Linked DNA regions of Drosophila melanogaster. Changing the gene in region 1 together with any one later gene gives a genetic interaction. Each region holds a gene or a part of one and is shown in the gene's direction. Other genes may lie near its edges.

Region 1 (3,756 bases):
CGCATTTTATTGCATTCAGCCAACCCCACATGAGTAAACCATTATCTGTCTGGAATTTCTAATTTCGAAGTTTTCTATACCACTTCAGGCATTGTCGTCGTCTTGGCAGTTGTCGTTTTGTCTGTTGCCCCTCTTGACCAATTTCCTGCTGCCCGTTTTTGTTCGTTCTGGCCGTTCGCTTGGGTTGGGGTTGAGCCATAGGCTCTCCAGCAGAGCGACTGGCCCGCTAATTCAAGCAGTTCGGTAATTTCCAAATTGGCGGCCCGTAATCAAACTGTAATGCGGCCGACTCGTCATTAAGCACGCAAGCAGCAACATCACGGCAGCAACATCAATCCAGAAAGCAACCAAAGGCAGAAAAAAGCTGCAAAAAAACAGCACAGCAGAGCAGAAATAAGCACACAAAGGGACGCACGAGTGCAAAGCTGGCAGCTACATCAGATCCAAAACCCATACAAATAATACGGCGGAAGCACCAATAAAGAAAAGGCTTAAAAGCAGCAGCGACAGCACCATAAAAGTCGGCATAAAGCTACAACACTATAGTGTCGATATTAACCCAAACCAGACTCCAAAAACCATCCACAATCCCAGATGCAATGAAGACAATTCATTAACAAAACCATGGCAACAACAGTAGAAAAGCAGGAAATCATTAAGGCTATCAAACAATAGTATCCATTAACTTGTATACATGCACCAATCATGTTCTTTCTTAAGAGTCTTAGAATAATTAGCACATAATACGAATTATTAGTTTTTAGTAGACAATAAGAAGCATTAGTTTTACTTTTTGGATTAAAAGACATGCTTCAATGCAAATCCGCCACATAGGTTTTCATTTTACTTGCACATCGAATAGCAACAACACTGAAATGCAATGGCAACTTGACAGCAACAACTTTCAGCCCCACAACAACAACAGCTGCAACAGCGATTCCAACAAACATATGCTTTGAGAAAAAAAAAAACAAATATGTACCAAGAGAGACAGCCAGACTCACCAACACACTCGCACGCGGACACACCTCCCCAAATAACAAAACAGCTGATTTGTTATCAGCAGTTGCTGAATGAGCCCCACAGAGCGAGCCACTCTCTTGCAGCAACAACAAAATGGGGGGAAAAAAACGACGCCAACGGCGGCTGCTATGGCAACGACCTTCCTTATTTATTACAATGTGTGTAATTCCCAGCCGTTTTCTCACTCTCTCTCGCTCTCTCGCTGTGTGTGTGCGAGCGAGACAGTGCCCTTTCCTGACTTAAATTGCCCATTTTTTAGTACAGAAATGTTTAATATCGCTGTCTGTTTGAGTTTTTGCAATTTGTTTTCCTTTTTTGGTCTGCAGAAAGTCTCTCAGTGCGCAGTTTAGCTTTCGTATTCCAAAACCGGAGAGGTTCTTGGGGTATTTGTTGTATTCTTATATTAAGGAACTACGTAGGTGTGTTCGAAGTTGCGTCGCAGAGGATTTTTAGGCAGTTGTGTGGAGATCACACTGCTTATGTTGATATTATATGGGTTTTAAGTTTTAGGGGTGTACCAAAGTGCTCAGAAATACATAAGTAAAAATAACCCATTCCCATTTTAACCAGGTGATGCTGATAGATTCATTCAACTCCCCGTTTTTAGTGCGGCTCAATTAGCTCTCAACTCGCCGTTAACCCCTTTAGAACCCATCTGCTTTTACGACCCCATAAAGCTGCTCCCAAAAATGCGTTTGCCGTAAAAAATTAAAGCACTAAAACGGTTAAAGACATCGTATTACAAAATAATGTGCGCTCTCTCGCTCTTTTCTCGCCTCTTTGTCTCTCTCTGTCTCGACCAAAGCAGTTGTAAAGATGGCCGCCGTGTAGTAACATGGCTGAATGTATACCACACACACACACGCAGGCACAGAGAGAGCGGTCACAGAGAGGGAGAGAGAGCGGCCATTGAATGCAATTTATATAGGAAAGCAACAATAACAATAACTCTGCGCTCGTCTCCTGCGACTGTGTGTGTGCTGAATACGTCACGGAACATCAGCTGTGCCGAACAGCAGGTAGGCGTCGGCAGAATGGAGCGAAGACGACGTTTCGAGTCAGTCGCTTCAAAGAGCTCGATTCGTGCGGACATAGGAGGAGATAAAGCGTGGTCTGTGGCACGTAATTAACGAAGAAGAGAGTTAAGAAGATTCAACGTCGCGTCGAAGGTGAACACGCAGTTAAAACCCAAAAACAAACGCAACGCAGCCAATTGTGATACGAAAAATAAGTAAATCGGCAGACAATCAACAAAAACAATAAAAGCAAAGCCTACACACAGGCGTAGGCGTCTAGCCAACAGCTGTTTTTCGTGCGCGCTCCGTATTCAGCATACTCGCTGCGCTTACAAACGTCGGCAGAGACCGCGGCAGAGAAGCAAGCGGCGGCAGCAAAACTACAAAGCAGAAACTACAATTCAGATCGCGTTTTTCTTCGGAGTGGATGAGACGTTCGTTCGGCAGTTCTATTGCGCATAGAACTAACAAGTTACCTACTCCGCGAACTCACCCCCGCGAGAAAAGAACAGAACAGAGCATAACCGAATGGAAAGAAGACAAGGAGTAGCTAAAAAGCAACGGTTAAGTTAGCCAGCAAAAACGGGCAAAAAGACTGAAAACACACGTGGATTGTTCACTCACCCCGACACGCGCACCCACTCGCACTCACACTCACCCAGCAGCTCCAACTGTTCGCTGCATTTATGTAAAACCAAACAAAGACTGACTAAAACGCTAATAAATATACAATAAACGTAACGAAACAAAGTTAAACACGCGAACAGCAGCTAATATTATACGGGTTAAAGCGAATTCCAAAGCAAAGCAAACACACATATGGATTAAGGTTCCTCCTATCTCAAAACACAAAAACAAAAGCAACAACCAACTCACGGATTACCTGCAGCGGCAAATTTACCGTTAGCCGCTCTTTTTGGATTACCAGTGCCAATAAAACCACAAAAGTGAATTTTTTCGAAAGTGAAGAAAGCGAAAAACATCCGCAAAATGATAAAAATCTAAATCTAAGTAAATAAGCAAACCAAAAGCGAATTCTGTGTTACCGAAACGAGAGCAAAAGCTAAAAGATCCCCTGAATACAGCAATGACGATGGCCGCCTGTTATGCCAACTACGACATGTCGTCCCTGTCGCACGGCATGTCGGCCCTGTCCGCCCTGCAGCAGCAACAGCAGCAGCAACAGCAGCAGCACAGCCAGACGCAGCAGCAGCATCATCACCAGCAGCAGCAGCAACACATGTACCACGCCGCCGTGGCTGCCCACCAGCAGCAGTTGCTGCAACAGCAGCAGCAGCAGCAACACCACCGCCATCACCACCAGCCCGCCAACACCAGCAGCAGCAGCAACTCGCGCCACAGCCATGCGGCGGCGACCCAAACGCAGGTCGCCGCCGCGGTTGCCAACAGCAGACAACAACAACAACAGCAACAACAGCAGCAACAGCAGCAGCAGCAGCAGCAGACTGCCAGCAGCAACAGCAACGCAGCCCCCGCTCCATCGCCGCAGAAGGACTACAGCATCCCGCTGCACGTGGACTGCAGCGTGGAGTACGAGCTGCCCAACCAGCCCAAGCCGCCGGCGGGCCAGAGAGTGGAGCCCCTGCTGATGATCCACCCGTGCTACTTCCGCAAGATGGAGTCGCAGCGGCGCAGCCCGTTCGTGAACAACATGCATGCGACCGCGCGGGCGGTGAGCAGCAGCTCGCTGAGCAGC
Region 2 (3,756 bases), on another chromosome or scaffold:
AATGAGGTTATAATTCGATGGCCCCCATCAAACGCCAGAGCACACATACATACATATGTATGTACATACATCTATAGGCAAGCGGCGATAGGCAAATAAGTCGCATACATTTGCGTATTTGTTTTCAACAAATTTGTGCTGAATTCTTCATGTTTTGCGTTCGTTTCAAGTATATTCAGTTTTTTTTAATAGAAACAACGTGATAAGGCGCGGTGGGGAAGGCCAGGCAAAAGTCGTGCCGCGCCGTTCGAATTTCAAACAGTCGAGCTGGCGCACGGTGGGACAAAAGCGTTGTTTAAAAGTTTTAATGTTTTAAAGTTTCATACATTTTAATAAAATACAAAAATTTAATTTGAAAATCTTTAACTAACGTACGGCCAAACGCACTATAAAAACTAGCCAATGGAAAAAATAGTCCAGTAACGCTTATACAATTTGTTTACAAAAACCAGTTATACAATGTATTCCAAAATTTTACATAGTAATTCTATTCCTACCACTTATGTTTTGTATCCCACTGTGCTTGGTTTGCACTCATTCCTCCACCTCTGCCGAGTCACCCACCACCAACACCCCCCAGCGCGCACGCTCTCCCTCATTCTCACATCATGCTCCGTTGGTTGGTATTGCCAGCTACGAAACATGAAACATGCTCACTGCTTTAACGCCGATTGGAACTTTAAAGGGGCATTTCGAACGGCATTTCTCATGGCCCCTTCCCTGCCCAGCAGCATCATAACAGAGAAAATTGTAATCTTAAAAATTTGGACACTCGCTCACTTTATATTACTTTCTTCTCTGAGCGTTGGCTAGAAGTGCCACTCTCCTTCTCCTTCAATTCCAAATTCGACTAACTTCCCTATCGCGGGGTCTCTCCGCTCTTAAGCTGGACTTGATCTGCATACGAGAATGAGACTGGCTATATGTTTTTACCCCGTAGGGTCTCGGTCTCTGAGATGTGTCAAAAGTAACAGGTGATTGGATTGGATTCGAAAGGAGAGAGGAGAGTTAGAGACAGGGGAAAGAGAATGTAGAGCGTAAGAGCGAACCGGCTTTTCTACCATTTGTTATTATTACTTTCACAGGATCTGTTAATATTTCGGAACCGAAGAGAAACCCAGTCCCGATACATGTCTATTTTAATCTAAACCTATCAGATTCTTTTGATTCCTGTGTAACCCTCAGTAGCATTACACTTGTTCCCAGAAAAATGGAATCTGGTATCTTAAAAAGAAAACTGAAAGTAATTTATTCTGAACCCAATACCCTTCTAGATTTTGGTGATCAAACATAATAAATTGTTAGATTAGGGACTCGTTCTACGAAAATCTGCTTATCGATTTAATCATAGCTAATGTTGGAATTTATTTTTAATACAATTGCTCGATACCTTAGCTAGAATAATTCAAAAACGTTCTGAATTGTTTATCCTTCATTTTTAAACTGTAAAATTTGAGCTTATTCAGAGTGGAGTAGTATAAGAAAATGTTGAATATTTTGATACCGGATCCGATAGTTATAGAACCGGAACCTACGGATCCCGTTGACCTTTTTCTTATCGCACTCTGATATTCCAACCGGTCGGACACATGTGTTTTTCATCCGTGAAGTCGGCCCAGAATATTTCCATCATTCAATATTTACCACCTTTTATAGTTTTGTTTACTATCTTGCCGACTTTTTTGTCTTGCCGTCTTGCTCTCCTCTCCATCCTAAAAATACTCTTCCTGCGCTCCATCTGGCAATGCCGCTCGACAACTGTACTTCAAAGAGCGTTGCCAGGCAGGTCACTTCTCTCATAGATACACAGATACAGGCGCGCACGCACACCAGCACGCAAAATAACCACCACCAGCAGTACAGAAATTACACATTTTCTCCCCGAGTAGAGAACTGAAAAACTGGCCGCGCTGGCAGCGCCGGAGCAGCGAAATTCGATCGAAACCATTTACTCAGTCTCAGTTCGAGTTATCCAACGTTGGCGAGCGGACAAACAAGCAGGAGAAAAAAGCGTACGGGCAAGAGAAAGAGAAGGCACAAAATCACCCACAGCCACTGAAATTTTCTTTTGCGCTCCGGTGAGAAGATAATTTCACAAACCAAAACCGAACCAACAAACAAAAAAAGTGCGCTCCGTGAGCGGGAAAACAATAACAAAATCAAGAGACATGCGATTATAAAACGAACAAAATAACTGAGTGACAAAAAAAAATTAAATGCGTGTCTCATGGCTTGACTGTACTGTGTATTAAAAAATGTGATTGTGTCGGCTGTCCGTCTGTCTGAGTTTGTGCGCGTGTGTGTGCTGTTGGCGTTTTTAAATGTGGCGCGCTATTTTTGTGTGATTTTTGTGGGCAGCAACGAATTTTGAAACATCAATTGTATACTAGTTGTCAGTCCCCTTGTGAAAAAGTCTTCTCCAACAACAAAATTCCTGTGAGCAGCCTACACACATGCGTTGTCTCGCTCTCGCGCGCTCTGGCCCCCAAAGAGTGCGAGAGCGGGAGAGTGAGACCGAGAAAGAGAGAGAGAGAGAGAGAGCTAATAACTAACGTCTGTACTCTTTTTCTTTTCCATTTTTCATTTCAGTTTCGAGAAAGCAGCGCGCCAAGCAGCAAGAAGAGGAAGAGCAAAGGGAGTTGGAAAAGCAGTGGCGTCGTGGAGGAGGAGTAGAAAGGGGATTTTTGCGAAAAATCCCAACTTGAAGAGAATTTTCCCCGTAACCGTTAAACATTAAATCGTCGTGTTGGAGACAAATAGCAGCGAATACGCTAGCAACGCTGGGGAGGAACAACAATTGTTGGATTTGGACGCGACCGCTTTGATGTCGCTGCCAATGAATTCGCTGTATTCGCTCACCTGGGGCGATTACGGCACCAGCCTCGTATCGGCAATCCAATTGTTGCGCTGCCATGGCGACCTCGTCGATTGCACGTTGGCCGCCGGCGGGCGGAGTTTTCCCGCCCACAAGATAGTCCTGTGCGCCGCCTCCCCCTTTCTGCTGGACTTGCTAAAGGTAAGTGCTCGGTTCGGAAACACTGCCTAAAACACCTTTCAATAAGAGAGCTTGTACATAACCTCAAACGTTTCGTACAGTTTGTAAACAGAGAAATCCAATCGCAGAAATAGGTTAATGTTTGGAGCGCAGAGAAACTGACACTCGCACGCAAATGCATACATATGTATAAATAACGCAGATTTACGCTCCGCTCCAAAAGTTGTCTAGAGATTTTTGTACAAGTTTTCCACTGTCAATTGAGTTGAATGAGTGGCTCCGCCCCCCGCATTCCCGCCGTCTATCTTGCTTATCAGCTTTTTCTTGTTGCAAAGTTCACCGGAGAACGAGAGAGTGAGACGTAGAGACAGAGCGCAGACAGAGAGGGAGAGAGCGAGAGAACCAGTTGGTTCGGTCGACAGAAAAGTGGTTTTGGGCCCGGTGGTGTAACAGAGAGGGGAGAGCCGAAAGCTGGTGCGCCAACTTTTAAATCGCATGTGTTAGAGCGAGCGCAAACGAGAGCGCCAAAAGCAGCGCGGCAACTGTTGTAGTTGTTGGATGGTTGGAGCTTTCGTCTTGCCTTTTGGTTCTTGCTGTTGTTGGGTGCACACGAGCGCGACCTCTTTCTTCACAGACAGAACTGTACAGTTGGCTCTGGCTAGGGGGAACTTGAAATATTGGGGGGAATATGGATACATATACAAAGATAATTAAAATTAAATTTGTATTGATTGGTTTGATTTCCTTAACCCATTTCCTAA

The links. A genetic interaction does not mean that the proteins touch.
Region 2: of corto (region 1) and Trl, changing one enhances a phenotype caused by changing the other (phenotypic enhancement), as found in Drosophila melanogaster (one study listed by BioGRID).

What each region holds. Positions count from the first base shown.
Region 1 is NT_033777.3:5,085,396-5,089,151, reverse strand, and holds the start of corto (corto), read left to right. Parts: upstream 1-2,079; 5' UTR 2,080-3,126; coding exon 3,127-3,756. UniProt on the Drosophila melanogaster protein: Essential protein required for proper condensation of mitotic chromosomes and progression through mitosis. Binds to specific polytene chromosome sites, many of which are shared with the posterior sex combs (Psc) protein.
Region 2 is NT_037436.4:14,756,164-14,759,919, reverse strand, and holds the start of Trl (Trithorax-like), read left to right. Parts: upstream 1-1,957; 5' UTR 1,958-2,078; exon of another isoform or gene 2,079-2,436; intron 2,437-2,583; exon of another isoform or gene 2,584-2,589; 5' UTR 2,590-2,824; coding exon 2,825-3,016; intron 3,017-3,756. UniProt on the Drosophila melanogaster protein: Transcriptional activator that functions by regulating chromatin structure. Overcomes the repressive effects of chromatin by promoting the open chromatin conformation in promoter gene regions, thereby allowing access to other transcription factors.